5 linked regions of the Mus musculus genome follow. The protein of the gene in region 3 binds, or shares a complex with, the protein of the main gene of each other region. Links are inferred from orthologs where the notes say so. Each region holds a gene or a part of one and is shown on either strand. Other genes may lie near its edges.

Region 1 (4,179 bases), on a different chromosome or scaffold from region 3:
CTGTGGGCTCAATCAGGAAGGATTTCAACCGCAGTGTTCAGTGCAATCTCCAAAGTTCATTCCTTTTACTAAACAGCAAACCTCCTGGGGCTTGTTCAGAACCCACTGCATGTTCTTCTAACAAAGTGCTAAGCGCTTTTGCCTGCTCATATCAAGATTAAAAATAGCCTAACAGCCACACTGGGAAGGAACTGCTTGGCAGCTACACAAATGAGCAACTCATCTGGAGAGCAGGGAGGAAACAGAAAGCTGGGCCGTTACTGCAGAGGTAAGAGCTGCAGACAACTCCAAGTTAGAGGCCACAGTCTGGCCTGGGGATCATTCCGTGCACCAGAGTGCCATGCAATTTAGCATCATCCCACATTTCTCACCAAACTGACACTGCTGTTCCCACAAGGCCAGCTTGTAGATCAATTCTTTATCCTTGGGTTTCATGAAAGAACATGAATTTCTAAGACTGAGACTGAAGTGGGATGGCCTGGTCCCCTACAGTGGCTCTGTCACTGTCAGTAGAGGGTTGTTTCTAATTTCTAAGCCTGAACTAAAAGACTTATTTCAATTCCTGTTGTAAACAAACAGCCCTGAGGGAAGTAACAAGAGGAGACAAAACCTTAAGTACACAATGATGGGACCAATTCCTCAGACATATAAATGTGCACAAGCAATATCTGTGAAAGTACCCATTGCAGCTTTATAGCTGGGGGGGGGGGGGGAGACTGAAGTCTGACACAGAATCCTGTATCCTGTGGCGTTGTGTCAGCTGTGTAATTATTCCACACAAAAAACATGTGAAAAAAGTGTGTACATATGAGACAAGGTTTCACTATGTAGGCCAGACTGGCCTCAAATATATGATCGTCCTGCCTTGGTCCTCTAAGTACTGGAACCATGGCACATGCCTCCGTTCCTCACTAGGCTCCCCTTCAGACACAGGTGGCATATACACATGCAGACGACTATGCAGCCAACTTTGAACAGTGGTCAGACATAGAGAAAAATGGAACTTCGCCTTTAATTTTACCCATTTCTATGAAGTTGTTTTTGTTTTTGTTTTTTTTTTTTTGGGTAGTGCTAGGGTAGGGGCTTTGCCGCATGCTAGGCAAACTATCTCTAGCCTGCTATTTAATTCTTTTCATGACAAAACAGAGCTTTATATGTCAAAAGCTAAAATACCCTATCCAATAACTTTAAAAAATCCAGGACAATGCCAAGAATGAAGAGCATGTCTGTAATCCCAGCTCTCAGGAGAGAGGCAGAGGGAGCTGGAGTTTGAAGCTAGCCAGGTTTTCTAGTATGACCTTGTCTAAACCCAAGAGAACAAACAAGTTTATTCATAAATAAGCAGAAGACAAAACTGAAGGAAACGAAAGTGTTCTCTATGGTTGGAGAGATGCTCAAGCTAAGAGCACTGGATTCCTGAACAGGACCTGAGCGTATCAGGCAGCTCACAACAGTCTGTAACTCTAGCTCCAGGGGATCAGATGCCTTGTTCTGTCTCACCGGAGTCCCACCCCTCTCTAAAAAACCATTCTGGTTAAGGAAAACATATTTTAAAAGTGAATAGAAGGATTTTCCAATTCCCAAAAGAAATTCAAAAAAGTAAGTTTACACTGCAGTTCTAATTTGTAAGGAGGTAGGATGCAGCCTCTGGCTCTGAGATGTTTTAACAGACTTACGTGTAGTCTGCCTCGAAGCTCTCGGTCATTTCTCATTTTCACATAAATTCGCTCATCCAGGCTGAGCCTGATCAGATCCAGGGGCTCCTCTACGGTATTGGTGGTCTGTTGCTGAGGAAAGGCAAAGGCTTACTCATAGGATACAGAGGCCGGGTGGTGTTTCAATCACTGGTCAGCTGAGAGAGCAGCATGTGGGTGCTAGTACACAACCAGGGTTGTCTCCAAGATCAGCAAGCGCTCTTATCTGCCAAGCCACCTCTCCAGCCCCAATAAATCCCCATTAAGGAACTTACACTCTAGTTGTGGAAGAAACACTTTAAATAAATACATATTTAAAACAACATGCTCTGGAGAGAAACACAGTAGGGTAGCACGTACGTACGTACATACGTGTGTGTGTGTGTGTGTGTGTGTGTGTGTGCAGGGGCTATACATATTTAAAACAACATGCTCTGGAGAGAAACACAGTAGGGTAGCACGTACGTACGTGTGTGTGTGTGTGTGTGTGTGTGTGTGTGTGTGTGTGTGCAGGGGCTGTGTGTGCATGTGAGGGTGTGAAAGACATTTTGGTGGCCAAGGTACACCAGCTACCTAAGAAATAGGGAAGGGTAGGTGCAGAGGCCCGTAGGCCCTTCTGTTGGCCTGTGTACCAGATCTTTGCTTGTTTTCTTCATACTCCATCTCTAGCAGTTTCTCCATCTCCTAGAACTGCACCTTTCCTCTGACCTCCCCTCGTAATTCACTCCAAGGGAACCACTGCCTGTGCCCCCCGTGTTCACTCGGATTGCTAAACTGGTGTCCTGCTACGACCTCCCGCTTTCTGTCGGAATCCCGACAGCTAGCTCCCAGAGATGGGCATCTCCAGCCGCCTGCATTCATTCTACAGAGAAAGGGCGACGACGAGCGCGATGGGTAGACGGGCGGGTTGAGAAACTCTGGGCCTACGGAGGTTTCAGGAGCAGGCCCGGCTACGGAAGGCCGTGGTGACTCGGAAAAAAAGAAAAGGGCCATCCCACGGGAAGCGTGGAAAAAGCGAGAAGCGAAAGCATTTCCTCTTCGAACGCCTCAGGTCAAACTTACCTGATCTACGTCGTCCGCCATGTTTCAAACGCTGCGCCCTTTCCACCTCTCGCGGGAACAGGAACTCAGAAACCTTAGGCCGCCACGCACTGAAGGCGAACTATATTATTTTTGTCCCTTCGCGCCCTCGTAGTTTGCATGGGGGCGGGGCTTCCTTCGAGGGCGTGGTCCTACCCTGGGCTGGGGGCGCGGCCAGGCGTGGCCCGCCTCCGGGCGGGGCGGGCACGCGGAGACCTGCGGCGTCCTGCGCGGTAGTCCCGAGGAACGCCTCTGGCTAGCATGGCCCCAAAGCGCACCGCAGACGGAAGGCGGCGGAAGCGGGGCCAGAAAACCGAGGACAACAAAGTAGCCCGGCACGAGGAGAGCGTTGCGGGTGAGAGGCCGAGTCTGCAACATGCCAGGCAGTGGTGGCTGAGGCTGGTGCGGGCGGCGGAGCGGATCTGCGCCTGTGGCAAGGTCTCCACGGCCGGGTGCGCGGCGTCCCCGAGGGCCTCTGCTATCAGCCTTAAACCCCTCTGTTAACCATTAGAGCCAAGTTCAGCCTCTAAGCAAGTGTTGAAGGCTGAGCAGCAGAAAGCTTCGCAGTTACCAGGTGTCTCAAGGAGACCCCAAAACCAAGACGGAGGGAGACTCTAGTGCGTGCGAGATCTCTCTCCAAATTCCCGACTGCCATCCAGTGTAACTCCAGAGTTTAGGATGTGCTTTGTTGTTGTTGCTTTGTTTTTCCGGACAAGGTTTCTCTGTGTAGCCCTGGCTGTTCTGGATCTTACTTTGTAGACCGGGTTGGCCTCAAACTCAAGAGATCCACCTGTCTCTGCCTCCCTAGAGCTAGGATTAACCCGTGTCTGCCACTGCGCCCTGGCTAGAATGCGCTTCTTACCTAGATCTTGAACAAAGCAAAACTTCCATCTTCCCTCTTAAACAAATCCATCCTCCAGTTGTTCCATTTCAATAAATCACACCTTTTCTTAACTGCCAGTTCGGCAGCAAGTCCAGTCAGCTTCGGAACCAATGAAATCTGTACCTAATTCTCTTTAATTTTATAGCTGGAGATCCTGTCCACAATTGAGTAAGTGAACTTCACGTTGCTTCTTTTCTGGCTTCCTCTCATCTGTCTGCCTCAGGTCATCATCTAGCAGCCAAACGGATGTAGAACAACAAAACCTCATGCCTCTGTCTTCTTATCTAAAACCCCCTCAGACTTGCGCTCTGCAAGTATAGCATCTTCCTCACTTAGCTGGTTTCCTACAGGATTTAGAGGCTGTCACAATTCTGTCTCCTTTCCAAATATTCTTGTTTTGATTTTTTCCTGTTTATTTTAAACAGCAGGCTGGCCTAGAAATCTGGATCTTTCCGTTTCAGATATTCTTATTTTGATTTTTTTTTTTCCTGTTTATTTAAACAGCTGGCTGGTCTAGAAGTC
Region 2 (4,166 bases), on a different chromosome or scaffold from region 3:
AAAGAGGGCAGTTTCCAGAGGACAGTGGCCTGCTAAATATGATGTAGAGCCCTGGCCCACTGGCCAGATGCAGCAAGCCCTGACACACTTTCAAAAGCTCATGCTCAGCCAAGAACAGGATGTGGGGATAAAAGCAGCCAAAGAGAGATGTTGGCCACATGGTGGAGAGCCCAGGAACCACATGTGTGAGGAATGCCTTAAAGCTTAGCCAATCAAGGAGGCACATGCCAGCCAGTTGTGGCAGCACCGGGGAGGCTGAGGCAGAGCTGCAAGCCCACCGCCAGCCTGGGCCATACAGGGAGACCCTGTCACAAAAGTCTGTAATCTCAAAAAGGAAAAGAAAAAGTATTTTTAAAAATGACCTGGGCTCTTGTTTCACAAGACAAGAGCGTACACAGTAGCAGGACGCACTGGCCACCCTTCAAACCGGCCCAAGACCCAAGGATGCAACACTCCAGGATCTGGGACTGAAGGCTGGAGCCACAAAGACAAAACAAGAAAGGACTCTACTAAGCCAGGAGTTGCGATGCGGCGCGTGAGATAACTAGGCCGGTGTTTTGCTTTGAGTTCCAGGTTAGCCAAGCCTCACCGGGTGCACAGGGACAGCCAGGGCAACATGGGAAGTCAGAGCCCAGCCTGGACTGCAGAGCGAGCTGGAGGCCAGCCTGAGCTGCGGAGCAAGTTGGAGGGCAGCCTGGACTGCAGAGTGAGTGTGAAGCCAACATGGGTTACATAGTGAGTTCAAGGCTAGCCTGGACTACGCCGAGTTCGAGACCAGCATGCCACCTCTCTCAGAAAGCAAAGCACACCAGAAGCCAGCCTCCTGCCAGGGCGCACCCCGCGCACACCTGAGGCGTCCCAGCAGAAGCTCGTCCCCAGCGTTCTGCACCGACCCTGAGGTGGGGACCCCCTTCCGCCCAAGGTCACAGAACAGAAGCCGGGGTGCCGGGCTGCATGCACCTCGGGGGCCGCGCTGGACGCCCCGGGGATGGAGCGCGGGAACTCGCCCCATTCTGCAAAAGGGGAAACTGAGGCTGGCAGGAACAGCGGCGGCGGCGGTTGGGGCCCCGGGGCGCAGGGCGGGCTAAGCCCCGCCAGAAGTCTGCGGTGGCAATGAGCGAGTGGACCGCAAGGTCAAGGGCACGGTCAGGAGTTGGGGGGCCGGGCCGATCGGCCGTGGCGCTCACCTGGGCCGCGAGTAGCAGCAAAGCTGCGGCCAGCCGCGCCGCGGCCATGTCCGCCGGTCCCCCCGCAGCTCTAGGCGGAAGGTTTCCTGGCAACGCCTTCGGGACGCCGCAACGTGCTTGCGCCGAGGCTGCGCGTGCGCAAAGGCCTCCGCGTTAGAAAAGGGCGGGGCGGCGCCTGCGCAGAGCGACGTGAGGCGACAAGATGGCGGTGAGCATGTCTAGATCGTGGAAAGCAGGGCCGCGGGATCGAGGGTCTGTGGAAGCGAGAGCAGAAAGACTGAAAGGAGAGTGACGGACGCCCTAGAGTAGGGAGACAGGGTGCTGAAGGATGGGAGCCACGTGGGACTGCAGACGGAAGCCATGGGTACAGACCAGGTGACATGAAAAACAGACGACCGACATGAGGATGCAGACGCGGAACGTGGGGGTTGCAGACCAGGCAGACAGGGGTGCGTACAGGAAACAGTGCAGATGGGGTATCCAGGGATGCAGATGAGGACGTGGGCATGCAGACAGAAATGCAGACTCGGGCATAGCATTCAATTAGGCAGACACTGGAGGTGAGGATGCACCCAGGGTTCTGGGAGCCTGAGTTGGAAAGGAGTCCCTGGGTGCCATGCCCAGGCTACAGGGATATGGGGAGGCTGGACCTCTCTCCTCAGCGCCCCACCTCCCAGCAGGACAAAGAGAAAAAGAAGAAAGAAAGCATCTTGGACCTCTCCAAGTACATCGATAAGACCATTCGGGTGAAGTTCCAGGGTGGCCGGGAAGGTGAGTGCCTACCGCAGGGCTCCCTGACACAGAGCTTGGCTGAGGTCACAGCAAGCAAGGGAAGCCACCTAGTACAGGCGTTCCAATAATGGCTTGGGCTATTGTGTACCATTGAAAGGTATGCCCCTATTGTGGGTGGGGAAACAGAGCCCCAGGAAAGGAGTCAAGTGAGATTAGCACCCAGACCAGTATGGATGGATCCTGAAGGAAGGGGCCAGGACCCACGAGGAGGTGGAAGGAGGTGATAGGAAGCCCTGTTCTTAAGCACCTGGACACAGCAGGAACCTGGAAGGTTTCCCAATGAAAGGATTGAAAGTTCCAGGCCAGTTTAAGTTATGTAGCAAGATCTGTCTCCAAGAATCAACCATGGGTGGGGCTGTATGTCTGTGGGTAGATTGCTGGTTTAGCATGCATAAAGCCCTGAGTTCTATTCCCAACCCCGTGTAAACCTGGCGTGGTTGTATAAGCCTGGCATTCCAACACTAGGGGTAAGACAGGAGGATCAGGCTGCCTAGTGAGTCTGAGACCAGCTTGGGCACATGAGACCCTGGGGGGGGGGGGGGAGACTGTTTCAGATTGCATGGATGGGTGACAATAAAGTTTTATGGACACTATATAGCACCTTCCATACTGGAAAGAAGAGGGTTGGAGTCACAGTGACTAGGCCACCACACTTACTTACTCATGAGTTCTGTGGTGGCAACTGTTCCTGAGCTGCCATACCAGGTTCTATATGTGTTACGGGGTGGACTGACATTCTTCTCCATGTCTCGCCCGTGTTCCTCAAGCCAGCGGTATCCTGAAGGGCTTTGACCCACTGCTCAACCTGGTGCTGGATGGGACCATGGAGTACATGAGAGGTGAGCCGGCCGAGGTTGTTGTAGGACGGTGCTGGGGACCTGTGGGGTCAGATTACAGCAGGTGGTGACTTAGGGTGCAGTGTTGGAACACCAGAGGACTGGTGTGCTTGCCGGGAGGGCCTCAGGCTTGAGACTTCCAGCTCACTCTCCTCAGGTAGCTGGCTTTATCCTCAGCCCTCAGGACAGCAGGAATGGTGGCCGCTGTCCTCGGCCAGGAATGTCTACCTGCATCAGAGACTCCAAGGCTCACTGGATCTCAGCTCTGTATAAGCAGGTCCACCCTGTAGTGCCCTGAGCAGACCCCTGCCCCCCACACCAGGTTTCCTGTCTCCAGCCCTCGTGACAGTTATGTCTGACTGCTTACCAGCTCCTCCTGTTGCCCACCCTCTCCAGTGCATCTGCTGCTCAGTAGATGCCCTTGGTGTTTACGGGGTCAGCATGGGCTCTAGCGTTCTTGAAGTTGGAGATGTCTGGCTCCTCCCTCAGCCACCTTCGTGGTTCTGTGGTTTAGACTCTGCTGGTCAGGTGTTTTGAGAGCATCTGGATCTGTCAGTCCCCAGAAGCTGTGAGTGAGAACTCTCAGGCCCCTGAGGTCCCGGCTGTGGCATGCCTATGGATAGATATGCACCTCAGTCCTCTTGCCTCTCATCCTACCAGACCCTGATGACCAGTACAAGCTGACGGAGGACACTCGGCAGCTGGGGCTTGTCGTATGTCGTGGCACCTCGGTGGTGCTCATCTGCCCACAGGACGGCATGGAGGCCATCCCCAACCCCTTCGTGCAGCAGCAGGACACTTAGCAGCAAAGGAGAGCGGTCCAGCCCCAGGGATCTTCCTTCTATGGGGTGAACTTCTGTGTGATGTTTTGGTCTTTTGTTCTTGTTTTGTTTTGTTTTGTTTTTTAATAAAATTGCCCATGTGAGCATCTCCCTCCCTTCCTGCTCTGTAACTTTGATCTTTGGAGAAGCCAGAGCCATGGAGACACCTTGATCAGACACCGTGGTCCAGGGCAGAGCACAGCACAGCCAGGGACTAGCACAGGGATGGGAGAAACCTGGACGCCTGGTCCCGCAGCCCAGCCGGCTTCACCTGGTGGGCTGTGGCAAGAAGACCACACCTAGAAACACCAGAACCTGGTCTTCCTCCATATGGCATCCCCTTAGCACTGGCCCCTGCCTGTTCTCTCTGCCCAGGGGAACCAGGAGGGCCTGAGAAAAGGATTGGCTAGCAGGGAGCCTGGGCCCTGAGGTTCCTCAGGCTGGGGTGCCTCCCTAAAGCGTCTGCCACAAGAGAAGCAGCCCAGGCAGGGGCTGGGGCGGGGCCAGGGCGGGACTCTGTGCTCCTGTGG
Region 3 (3,500 bases):
GTCTTCTTTAAGCTTTTTAATTTTCTTGACCTTTCTCTGTTCTGCTGTAAGTTTTCGGGCCGCGTTGGCCTCTTCATGCGCTCTGTCGTGACAGGAAGGACATCCACAAGTGAGAAAGGCATTGCCGATCAGAGGCAGGGCTAAGGGAAAGAGAGAGCAACAGAGGACTCTCTCCTCCCTCCAATACCAACCCCAGGAGGGTCTGGAAAGGTAGTGTCCTGGGCTCTGCCCTATCCCACCCTACCGCACCCCACTTACTTCTGTCTCTTTGCCATCTGAGCTCTGACATGGGCTTCTACCTTTGTAGGGTCTTGAACTGCTTCTGTTCCTAATACTCGCATTAAATTTGAGATTCTCACTACAATGGAAAGAAAGCAGCAATCAATCTCCTAATCTCTTAAATTACTTCTCTAGCTAGGATAAAGTATTTATATATACTATTTCTAGGTATATTGCCTCCTCTATATATGTATATACACATACATATATACAAACACACACATATATGTGTGTGTGTATGTTTATATGTATAAATGTGTGTGTGTGTACATATATATGCACACACACACATTTATATACTCAAGAAAACAATAGTTGCATATTTGTGGAGTTTATTTATTTTTAATGCCAATGAATGAGAAATGAGAAATAAGAAATTAAGTTTTATGTTTTTTATGATATAAGTATACTGAATTTTTTAGATAGTTTGAACTACTATAAAATCTGAGTTAAGCAGGTAAGATTTTTCAATGTAGGAATTATTGTAAAATGTGAATTTTGAGCAGACTTGAAATAAGCAGTGCTTGAGAGCAGGAACAAAAAACAACAACCATCAACAACAAAAAATAATTAAAAACAAGCTCTAAATGACTTCTATAATGAATGTGTTGTTCTGCCAGAAGAAAACATCACAGGTTAAAAAAAATCCTGTAAATGATTCAGAAAAACCATCAAAGACATTAAAGTGCCTTTATAAGACAGACTGACTGACTCACTCACTCTATGGTAGCAGGCCAGCAGGCACATACCTTTGGGCTCTGGAGGAGGTGTCAGGCCTAGCCTGACTTTCTCTTGTAGCTCTTTCTGTGCTTCCCTTCTTGTTTGCCTCCGTAGTTTCTTCTGCTCCTTCTTCGTAAGATATACCCCAAGGGTAACTGGTGTATCATTGTCAACTGTTAAAAAGAAAAATGAGTTACCAAAGCATAAATTATAGAGGGATTTAGGTGAGTATGCATCACTTAGAAAAACCATCAACTAAAATCTGAGGGAGGAGGTCGAGAGACAGTCGTGCTTTGTAGCTCAGACTGGCCTATTGCTTCCACCTCAAAACTGCTGAAATCACCTGCATCCACTAACTGTGCTTGACCTATTTGGTTTTGTTTTGTTTTGTTTTGTTTTTTCAAGACAGGGTTTCTCTGTGTAGTCCTGGCTGTCCTGGAACTCACTCTGTAGACCAGGCTGGCCTCAAACTCAGAAATCCACCTGCCTCTGCCTCCCGAGTGCTGGGATTAAAGGCGTGCACCATCACGCCTGGCTATTTGTTATTTTTAAGTGGTGAGACTGATAGTATAATTTTTTTTACTAAGTGAAAGTATTATGGCTCATAAATGTTTTTTCTTTAAGAAGTTGTTCACTTTCAGCAAATGCAAACAGTAGCACTGGCTAAGAATCTGAGGAAGTAAAAGAATCCAGAACTCCACTTGGGTCCTACTTTCTATAATTTGCTGCTTCTATGGAATACAATTTGAAATTCCCTAACCTACATAACAATAAATTTTGCGTCGGCAATGCAGCTATGCTAACTACTGTACAACCTCTGCGCTCAATTTCAGTACTAGGAAATGGAGGAAACCCTCTGGAAGAAGCTGGCTGGAGATGGTGCAGTGGTTAAGAATACTTACTGCTAGCCGGGCGTGGTGGCGCACGCCTTTAATCCCAGCACTCGGGAGGCAGAGGCAGGCAGATTTCTGAGTTCGAGGCCAGCCTGGTCTACAGAGTGAGTTCCAGGACAGCCAGGGCTATACAGAGAAACCCTGTCTCAAAAAACAAAAAACAGAAACAAAAAACAAAAAAAAAAGTCTCTAAACTCTAGTTCCAGGAGATCTGGCTTTCAAAAGCACCTATATATGTATGTTTCTGGCATATACCCACATACACGCACATTGTCCAACTCCCCATAAACACCTACATAAAAATAAATTTATTGGGGCTGGAGAGATGGCTCAGTGGTTAAGAGTACCGACTGCTCTTCCCGAGTTCAAATCCCAGCAACCACATGGTGGCTCACAACCATAAGATCTGACTCCCTCTTCTGGAGTGTCTGAAGACAGCTACAGTGTACTTACATATAATAAATAAATAATTTAAAAATAAATAAAAAATAACTTTATTATTTAAAAAAGTACACACTGCTCTTGCTGAGGATCCAACTTTATAGTACCCACCTTGGGTGGCTGACAAGCAAGCCCCTGTAGCTCCAGCTTCTGATCACCAAGGGCATCTGTAGACACACACACACACACACACACACACACACACACACACACACACCCCAGACACATACAGATTCTTAGTAATAAACCTTTGCTGGAACCTCACTCTAATTCCACCAATGGGCTTGATAGTAAAATAAAACTTAAAAAAAAGAAATCCCTATACTTTTAAAGCATGTTTGTTTAAAAAAAAAAATCCTCATATTCCTCTGACAAATACTTATGGCAGCTACATAAAATCTGATTAAGTCTAGTTCCTATTTTTAATTTGTATTAGAGGCTGAATGTCCCTAATCTAAAAACCTAAGATCGCCAATACTACAAAATCCAAAATGATTCTTTGAATAGGACCTCATGTATCTCAGGCTGGCTGGAATTCAGTATTTGAATTCAGTAGATGAGGATGACCTTGCACTTCTAATATCCCAGTCTCCCTTCAACCCCCCCACACACCTCCCTCTCCCCCTCTCAAGATTTATTTATTATTATACATAAGTACACTGTAGCTGACTTCAGACACACCAGAAGAGGGCATCAGATCTCATTACGAGTGGTTGTGAGTCACCATGCTGGGATTTGAACTCAGGCCTTCAGGAGAGGAGTCAGTGCTCTTACCAATTGAGCCACTTAGCCATCCCCAATCCCCCCATCTCTTTTCGAGAGCTGACATTAAAAGTGTATGGCACCATACTTGGATTATGTAGGGCTGAGATCCAACCTAGGAGTTAATGCATGCTAGACAAGCATTCTACCAACTGAGTTATATTCCCAGTTTCAGAAACCCTGGAAGCCTTTTAAACTTGACTTGTTTTGTATGTGTGGTGTGCAGACACGCATGCATATCCACATGTATGTACCTGTGTGTATGTAGACCAGAGGCTAATTGGAGTCTTCCTTGACTGTTGTCCACTTTGTACACTGAGGCAGGATGCTTGTTCTAGGGATTGTCTGTCTCTCACATCTGTGTAGCAAGTGCTTTACCCAATGAGCCACCCCTATCTCTTGAAA
Region 4 (4,037 bases), on a different chromosome or scaffold from region 3:
CTAAAGCCTGCCATTGCAACCCTGTGTAGGAGGAAGACCTCTAAAGACTCACAAAAATCTAACTAAATTTACAACTGATGGAGTAAGACCATCTCTCAGACAAAAGGACTTAGTAACACACCCACATAAACAATGCTAACAGCAAGGAGACAGCATGCACAGAGGTGGATGGGTAAGGAAAGAGCTGGTTTAAGAAAGAGATATTCTAGCTTATTGGACACACTCCAAGGAAGGATGGAGACACCAACAGTCATGGTCTTTTTGTGAAGAATGGATCTGCTGGGCTACCTCAGCAAGCAAGCGAACACCCTTTAAACTTCCTGTCTCTCCTGATCTGATCCCTTGCTTGCTAACCAGCTTGTGATTAATACCTTAGCTTTCAAAAGGAAAAGAGAAAGAAAGACCGGCCCCTAACCCCCCCCAGAGCAATCCAACAAAAAACTAGAGTTTTTAGACAGTGACAGAAGATGTGCAGATGTGGAAGGAAAAATGGGAGACAAAAGCAGTCAGCTCCCTTCCTTTTGAGGGAAAAATTGCAGTCAATTTCAAAGTTTTCTGTGAACAATGAATGTGGACCGTCTCAGATCACCTATAGGTATGCCAGCAAAGCCCAGTTTCTAGTTACAAACAGCTAGGGTTTGGAAAGTGGAAGTTTATGGTTCAGTAGAGTATTGTTATGTGTTCTAAGGACACAGTCAGTGGTAGCCAGCAACTCTACAGTACATCCCATGCCCTCTCCACTTAACTTAGCTATTGCTCTTAAGTCTCAAGACTAGGGCCCTGCCAGAAAAAAATAACAAAGAAAAGAAGCAGTACTTACATTAACAAAATCTCCACCCTGAATCATGAAATCCTTTATGACCCTGAAACAGTTAAAAAAAAAATCCTGAGAAAAGATTCAGTGGATTAATCACTGAAGCTTAGAAAAGGGCGAGCAAGTACAGTCTTAACTCAGTTGATCTTAGATGCGTGAGTTCGCACCTGAACATCAGGAAGGGGCTGAAACCAGGCTAGAATCACCAACAGTCACCAAAGGAAAAAATCATGTCCAGGGCTTATTGCAATTTGGGGGAAAAGAACAACAGCAAATCTAGGTGAATGGACTACTGCACACACAGAGACTTGATGGTGTTAGCTAGTACACCAGCTATGGCCCTTCGCTTTGCTTAGCCTTCCTTGAAGAACTCGGAAAACACATACTACTTCACAAGAATGCTAGGGAGGGTTACAGACTGTAGCTTTAAAGCCCTTATGTGGGAGACATGGACATTTTCAGGATTAGAATAGAGCAACTTCTGTCAAACTCTAACAAAAAATAAGTAAATATATCATGAAAGCCAGGCTCCTACAGATGACTGCCTAGCAACGGTAACTAGCAAAGCCTCTGCTGAAGTCCTGACTGGCGCCAGGGAGATGGGTCAGTGGGTGAAGTGCTTGCTGTGGCAGCCTAAGGATCTGAGCTTAGACCTCTGGGAGCACGTGGCCACGCACCTGTACTGAACAGGTACTGAAAGGGTACAGCATGCTTTCCTTGGCATCGTTTCTGCAATACAGCATTCCACCAAGTCAGGGATGACTTAAGGCGCTGTGCATAGGCTTCATGGTGTTCAGTACCAAATCCAGGGCCTTATGAATGCTGGGCCAATTCTCTACCACCGAGCTACAGCCTCAGCCGCGAACATGCCATTTAAAACAACAGCCGTAAGCCTCACAGAGTTTGAACTCAGGTGTGCAGGACTGCCTGTACAGATACCAAGCAATGACTGCATTTCCAGTTTTCCAAAAACCTCCCTTACCTGTGGAAGGTGCTTCCTTTGTATCCTATCGGAACGCCATCTTTTCTGTAAACAAAGAAGGAAGAGACTTGGAATGGGGAAACACAATGGTGGGCCTTTCCCATTTAGGCTACACCAGAGGCTAAAAGGGCTCTCACTAAGATCTGGAGGGGGAAAAAGAGAGAGAAAGAACCCATTCAAGGTGTCACCCTCTCTCTGCATATCATCTTCCATTACTTAAGACCTGTTCATGGTTCTCCAATACCCTCACCAAACATCCAGGGCACCCCTTCAGGAGTAGGCAGAGAAATCAAACACATCTGAGACTGACCTGAACTCTCCGGTGCAGAATTGCCTAAAGGGAAAGAGAGAGCAAACGATTTAGCCTTCGTACGATCACTGCTTGAAGCACCTCTAATCTCTGGAGAGGAGAGTTCAAACACTGGGGCCAGTATGTCCGCCAACTAACTGATCGGGCGGATGTCAGGGCAGGTAGACTAGTGATAGAAGTTGATATGGGATCAGTCACAGCCGGTAGCTGTTTGGCCAGTGAAATACCCAGACCACAGAGCTGCAAGGCAATGAATAGATGGACAGAGGCAGACATGGCAAAGACCGACTGGAGGCCGGCTTCGGGCTCAGCTCTGGTTCACTTGGAGCATATCCTTACCTAAAGTTCTCTGCCGTCTTAGGCACCACGTCTGCAAAGAGCTCGATTTTCATGCGACCAACTTCCTGCAGAAGAAACGGGAGACGCAACACTCAGCTCACGACCGCTGTCCACGAAGCTCGAAAGCTCCCACCTCCCTCCGCCGCCTGGCCCAGCCGGTCTCGGGAGGGCTATAAGGGGCTGCCTCCCTTACCCGAGGCCAACCAGCCCGCACGGGCCGCTAGGTCGCCCGCACCTCACCTGGCCGCCAATGCTGACATCGAAGAAGACCACTGGATTGACTGGACTTGAATTTGCCACCGCCATGGCTTTGACCCGGAAGTAGAAACCCGGCTTCCGGTGGCAGGTCCCGCGAACTTCATCCGGAGCGCAGACGCAGTGGAAACGGACCGCGATTGCGCCCCGCCCCGGAAGTGTGGCGCGCGCTGAGGTTGTTGGGAATGGTACTGTTTGGCTGAGCTGGTCGGAGCTGAGGGGAGGAAACGCAGGCATCTTTGTCAAAGTCTGTGGGCTCCCCACTTGCATGACTGTATTAGTGCAATAGAAATGAATCTTCTGCAGACAGCATGTCCTGAGCAGTCACACTTGGTGTCCCCTGTCACAGCTCATGAGCCGAGGATCCCTGAGTCACCTTCCATATTTTAAAATGGTTTGTTACTGTAGCCTGGCTCAGTCGGGTGCTGGAAATGTAATTTTATTTATTTTCTTATGATTGTAAAATTTTTTATTTTTTAATTCACATTTACATCCCCAGTGCTGCCGCCTCTCCCGGTTTCCCCACCCCCTCCTTCTCTTCTCCTCTGAGAGGGTAGAGACCCCCTCTGGTTTTCCCTCCACCTTAGCACATCAAGTCTCTGCAGGGCTGGCCTCATCCTCTCCCACTGAGTCCAGACAAGCAGAAGAAACGAATTCCACAGCAGGGCAACAGCTTTTGGGATAGCCCCTACTCCAGTTGTTCGGGACCCACATGAAAGACCGTGTGTGTGTGGGAGGGGGCTAGGTCCCGCCTGTCTATGCTCTTTGGTTGGTGGTTCAGTCTCTGAGAGCCCCAAGGGTCATAGTTGACTCTTGGTTTTCCTGTGGAGTTCCAATCCCCTCGGAGGCCCTCAGGAGTCCTCAAGCTCCATCGGATGTTTGGCTGTGGTCTCTGCATCCCTGAGTCAGCTCCTGGGTGGAGTCTCTCAGGACAGCCATGCGAGGTTCCTGTCTGCAAGCACAACAGTCTCAGGGATTGTTGTTTGCCCATGGGATGGGTCTCTAGGCTAGTAAATCGTATGGGGCTTTGCCTATTTAAAATGCTGTTTGCCACTGCTGGTAGCAAAGACCAGGAAGTAAAGGCTGGCTTCTCTTATACCACTTTTACCAAGTACCCTTCTGCCTCTGTTTTGGAGGGCATTCAGTTGCTACCCCCCCCCCCTCTTTTCCTTCTCTCATGCTTGCTCCGGCCCAAAGATACTTATATGTAAGTACACTATACTTGTCTTCAGACACCCCAGAAGAGGGCGTGGTTGCTGGGATTTGATCTCAGGACCTTCGGAAGAGCAGTCAGTGCTCTTACCCACTGAGCCATCTCTCCAGCCCTGGTTGTTACA
Region 5 (4,149 bases), on a different chromosome or scaffold from region 3:
AGCTTCCTGTATGTGTTTTCAGGTTTGAGTCTGAAGCAGATAACCAGGAACGAAGTTTGTGTATCTGATAAATTGTGGTCCTCAAACCTTTCAAAGATCTGCTGAATATAGCATTTTAAACATTTAAGTTTGCTACAATGAACTGTGACCGTTCCAAACAATAACTTTTGAGGTCTCCAAAAAGATGGGCCCTGCAACAATGAATCCACCTGGATTATGGTAATGCTAACCACTGAGCAAAACTGTTCCATGCCTCTTCTACCACCAAGTTCTGTGCAAACAGTGGATTCCTTTGGGTTACCAAGCCAGGATTACCACTAAGCTGACAAACACCACTCAAAAATAGCTCTGGACTACAAAATTGCTGAGGACATTCAAATTGCTCAGTTCATATAAGACTGAAACAAACATTTTACAGAACTTTGAACTCAAAATACTTAATCCTAAGACTGCTAAATACAAACAAGCTGTGGAAAGCTTGGTAGAAACAGCTTCATTATTGTCAATAGTTTTGCTGTATTACAGTTAAAACCTTTCCTTTTCATTTAGACAAAAAGGGGTAAATGTTGCAGGATATTTGTCACACTATGAACTGAATTATGCTATTAACTGGAAAAACCTGTTTCTCGTTGTGTTGTGGCTCAGTCTTAGCACACGCTTTAATCCAAGAGCTTTCTGCTTGAATAGTGTAAACAGGATTAAATAAAGTCAACCATTGGTCAAGAAGCAGAGCAAGCAACCAATTGACAGGAAGTGAATCTAGGATTATTGAGAAAAAAACAAAAACAAAAAAACAGAGTAAGAGAGAGCCAGGAGGACAGATAGAGAGATGCACAGGAAGTAGAAGGGAGGGACATTCAGTTTGAAAGGTTTTTTTGAGAAGGCAAAGAGAGGGGGGATTTCTTCTCGGTACTGGCTGAGGAAGGTCAGCTGAGTACTTTTTCTGGCTCTCTGAGCTAGCAGGCTTTCACCCCAACATCTGACTCCTGATTCTTCATTGGTAAAATGAAGCATCTGAGATATTGTTTTTAAAAAACTAACAACAGGTAACTCTAGCCTAATGTTAAAGTCCCTGTGACTTCCAGCTCTTCTTCTTGCAATTCCCACTCTTCTGGATTCTTTTTTTTTTTAATCTAGCCCCACTGGGCTTGACCTTGTTCTTTTTGCATTTATTTTTATGTGTATGTGTGTGAAGCTGTGTATTTAACAACACCACATGCATGCAGGTGGCTGTGGAGGGTATCAGGTCCCCTGAAACTGGAGTTATAAGCAAGCTGTGAGTCTCCTGACAGGGGTCATAGGAATCAAACTCAAGTCCTTTACAAAAGCAGTAAGTGCTCTTAACTGCTAAGGAATCTCTCTAATCCCTTTTATATTCTTTAAAGAGGTTGGGCAAGACATTGGAATCAAACCCAGGGCTTTGTCAGTACTGCTCAGCTACATCTTCAGCTGCCCTTTTAAACTATTTATTTATTTAGTGTGTGCGTGTGACCTGACATATCTGTAGAAGTCAGAAGACAATTTCAGAGAATCAGTTCTCTCCTCCTACCTCGTGAATTCTGGGAACTCAAACTCAGGGTTGACAGAGCCTTTACCCTCTGAGCCACTTCACCAGCCACCTACTTGCCTTTTTATGTGCCTATACCAAATTCCACGTTTTTCCTTTACTCCCCCAAAATCTGACACTTCGTAAACCCAACTAAAATGCCACACTGCTGAATATCTCTTGACTTCTGTCCTACTTTTTGTGCTTATTTATACCAATACCGAACTTGTCTTGTGAACTGCAAGTCTTCTGAAAACGGCTGTGAATGCCTCCCTTCTCCTACCATTACCAAGGAAGACTTATGTTTCCCTAATCAAATGCATAAAAAGTAGGAAAAATACTATTCATCTACCCAACACCTTATGACTAGTGGCACTGCCATCTCTGTCCAGACGGCTGAGAATTTGAACAGGTGACCTACAGCCACACATCCTAGAGAAAAATGTTTAAGGGAAGAAAGGTATAGCACACTCTTACTGTATACATCAAAGACTCAACTGCTTCTTACAGCCAACTCGCTTACGGATATTACTTCAGACACCAAGACACTGAGATTCAGACCCCTCAGTCATATCTTAGAGTGGTAGTCAGGCCTCATGAACCTACATATTTCGACACATACATACATACATGCATACCCACTTTGTCGGAAAGGCATTATGCCAAATTACCTAGTTGTGGCGGTGAAAGTTAACCTTGTTTTTGAGACAAGGTTTCGTTAAGTAATTCTAGCTGTCCTGAAACTCGCTGTGTAGCCCTGGCTGTTTTGTAATTCGCTATGTAGACGAGGCTGGTCTCTTAACTTAAAAACGAAGGCCTCTGCCCCTGCCCCATCCCATCCCACCCACCCCCCACAACAATGCTGGGGTTAGAGACGTGCGCCACTAGCTCCAGCCCCTGGTTTTTTGTTTTATTTTGAGACGCGGTCTCTCTAGCTCTAGTGGCTGCTAGTCCAGAATCGTTCTCAAATAGGCCAAGAGCGAGCTGTGTTCCAGGGCACCAGGCACCCTACCCGGGGCAAACTCCCCCCCACTGCCTTACCCCCTGCCCAGCCCGGGTACGTAGCCCAGCGGCGCAGGCATGCCCAGGAACGGCTTCTTCTTCTTGTTCATGGCGGTGTTATTGACCGAAACACAGAAAAGCAGGGGAGCAAGTATACGACAGAAGACTCAGAGTCCTCCGGGTGTCGCAGCAGTAAGAGATGCAGGCACTACGTCACCCGCGCACCGGAAGTAGAGAGCTGGGTCACGGAAAGCCCCGCCCACCTAGAGCTTCGGGCGGAAGTCAAAGATGTGGGTTTGCAAAGTGTTTCCGGCCAGCGCTGTGTGCAGTGTTTGTTGCGGGAAGACGCGCGTGCGCGTGACGGTATTCGGTATCGCGCCACAAGGACGTGGGTTCGATTTTCATGCCAGCCTTGACGCGGAGCCGGAACGCATTAGTCCTGTTCAGGAGCGTTCCGGTGCAAGCAAGGCTGCGAAGCCACTTAGTTCAACCACCATAACCACTTCAGACTAGCCTTACTGTACTGAACCGTATGCGGCCACCGACGGTCCAGACTACGCCATCAGATCCGGGACCACTCCAACCCCCGCGCGCCTTCTGAGGACAGATGTATAGTGCACTCAACAGTGTGTGGGCCAGCGTCACAAGCTTGGGAGTGATTGTGTGCCCAGTGGCTTGAGTGGACTCACACCACTCTACTTTGCACAGATATTTTCTGTGTGCAGCTCCTCCCGAAACACAATGCCAGTCCCACCTGTTGTGTAATAATAGCTTCAGGCCGTGAATTAGGCTGTACAGGGCATTAACCCCACGCTATAAAAAGTTGCTTAGCCTCGGCGATGTCTACCTGCAGAAGCAGTATGCCACCCCTGGGAAACAACCCTGCTCCGAGTTAAACCTCAAAAATAGCTGTAAACTCCTGGTAGCTACTCTGTGTGTATGTCCCAGCCCTTTTAGGTTAGGGGCCCTCAGTGTTTAAATAAAGCAGTCTCAGCCCGTTGAGACAGTCTGCCTCTCAGCCTCACTTGTCTTACACCTCCTACACATGGGGAGAGCACCAGACTCTAGGGCCGACAGGAAAAACTGCAAGTTGTGCAGCCTGGACTCTGCTGGATCAGACAACCAGGCCTCTACAGCCAATGCTTTTCAGTGAGGTACTAAAGCAGTCCTGGCTCCCTAGACAGGTTTTTAGGGAGGAGCAGGATTGAGTCTGTGAACACTGACCCACAGGGAACTGTGCCTGACAGAGGGGCTTCACAGAGATAGGAGTATTGCCTGAAGTTCAAAGCAAAGTGGTCCGTAAATGAGGGTCAGCAAATACTCCAGTAAAGAATGAGCTAGTAGCTGACTCAGACAGATACAGACACCAACAGCCAAGCAGTGGATTGAGCTTGAGGATTCTTATGGAAGAACAGGGGAAAGGATTGTGGGTCCTGAAGGGGATAGGAACTCCACAGGAAGACCAACAGAGTCAACTAACCTGGACCCTTGGAGCTCTCAGAGTCTGAACCGCCAACCAAGGAACATACACCGGCTGAACCTAGGTTTCCCCACTCATGCATGGCAGATATGTGGCTTGATGTGGGTCCTAAATAACTGAA

What was found. Proteins that work in one complex are often made in the same cells at the same time.
Region 1: Prpf3 (region 3) and Lsm3 share a complex: the UniProt entries of both Homo sapiens proteins name them as parts of the precatalytic spliceosome. The link is inferred for Mus musculus from reciprocal best matches to the Homo sapiens genes PRPF3 and LSM3.
Region 2: Prpf3 (region 3) and Lsm7 share a complex: the UniProt entries of both Homo sapiens proteins name them as parts of the precatalytic spliceosome. The link is inferred for Mus musculus from reciprocal best matches to the Homo sapiens genes PRPF3 and LSM7.
Region 4: Prpf3 (region 3) and Ppih share a complex: the UniProt entries of both Homo sapiens proteins name them as parts of the U4/U6-U5 tri-snRNP complex. The link is inferred for Mus musculus from reciprocal best matches to the Homo sapiens genes PRPF3 and PPIH.
Region 5: Prpf3 (region 3) and Prpf6 share a complex: the UniProt entries of both Homo sapiens proteins name them as parts of the U4/U6-U5 tri-snRNP complex. The link is inferred for Mus musculus from reciprocal best matches to the Homo sapiens genes PRPF3 and PRPF6.

The regions. Positions count from the first base shown.
Region 1 is NC_000072.6:91,514,656-91,518,834, reverse strand, and holds the start of Lsm3 (U6 snRNA-associated Sm-like protein LSm3), read right to left. Parts: upstream 2,801-4,179; 5' UTR 2,778-2,800; coding exon 2,757-2,777; intron 1,788-2,756; coding exon 1,677-1,787; intron 1-1,676. Other genes in the region: Xpc (DNA repair protein complementing XP-C cells homolog), read left to right, coding at 3,036-3,129. UniProt on the Homo sapiens protein: Plays a role in pre-mRNA splicing as component of the U4/U6-U5 tri-snRNP complex that is involved in spliceosome assembly, and as component of the precatalytic spliceosome (spliceosome B complex).
Region 2 is NC_000076.6:80,852,410-80,856,575, reverse strand, and holds Lsm7 (U6 snRNA-associated Sm-like protein LSm7), read left to right. Parts: upstream 1-1,366; 5' UTR 1,367-1,389; coding exon 1,390-1,395; intron 1,396-1,419; exon of another isoform or gene 1,420-1,515; coding exon of another isoform or gene 1,516-1,551; intron 1,552-1,864; coding exon of another isoform or gene 1,865-1,867; coding exon 1,868-1,958; intron 1,959-2,746; coding exon 2,747-2,818; intron 2,819-3,475; coding exon 3,476-3,618; 3' UTR 3,619-3,751; downstream 3,752-4,166. Other genes in the region: Sppl2b (signal peptide peptidase-like 2B), read right to left, coding at 1,188-1,235. UniProt on the Homo sapiens protein: Plays a role in pre-mRNA splicing as component of the U4/U6-U5 tri-snRNP complex that is involved in spliceosome assembly, and as component of the precatalytic spliceosome (spliceosome B complex).
Region 3 is NC_000069.6:95,835,386-95,838,885, forward strand, and holds part of Prpf3 (U4/U6 small nuclear ribonucleoprotein Prp3), read right to left. Parts: intron 1,173-3,500; coding exon 1,029-1,172; intron 359-1,028; coding exon 259-358; intron 141-258; exon of another isoform or gene 83-140; coding exon 1-82. UniProt on the Homo sapiens protein: Plays a role in pre-mRNA splicing as component of the U4/U6-U5 tri-snRNP complex that is involved in spliceosome assembly, and as component of the precatalytic spliceosome (spliceosome B complex).
Region 4 is NC_000070.6:119,317,724-119,321,760, forward strand, and holds the start of Ppih (peptidyl-prolyl cis-trans isomerase H), read right to left. Parts: upstream 2,801-4,037; 5' UTR 2,752-2,800; coding exon 2,686-2,751; intron 2,511-2,685; coding exon 2,446-2,510; intron 2,131-2,445; coding exon 2,107-2,130; intron 1,842-2,106; coding exon 1,797-1,841; intron 864-1,796; coding exon 821-863; intron 1-820. UniProt on the Homo sapiens protein: PPIase that catalyzes the cis-trans isomerization of proline imidic peptide bonds in oligopeptides and may therefore assist protein folding. Participates in pre-mRNA splicing.
Region 5 is NC_000068.7:181,599,970-181,604,118, reverse strand, and holds the start of Prpf6 (pre-mRNA-processing factor 6), read right to left. Parts: upstream 2,801-4,149; 5' UTR 2,659-2,800; coding exon 2,588-2,658; intron 1-2,587. UniProt on the Homo sapiens protein: Involved in pre-mRNA splicing as component of the U4/U6-U5 tri-snRNP complex, one of the building blocks of the spliceosome.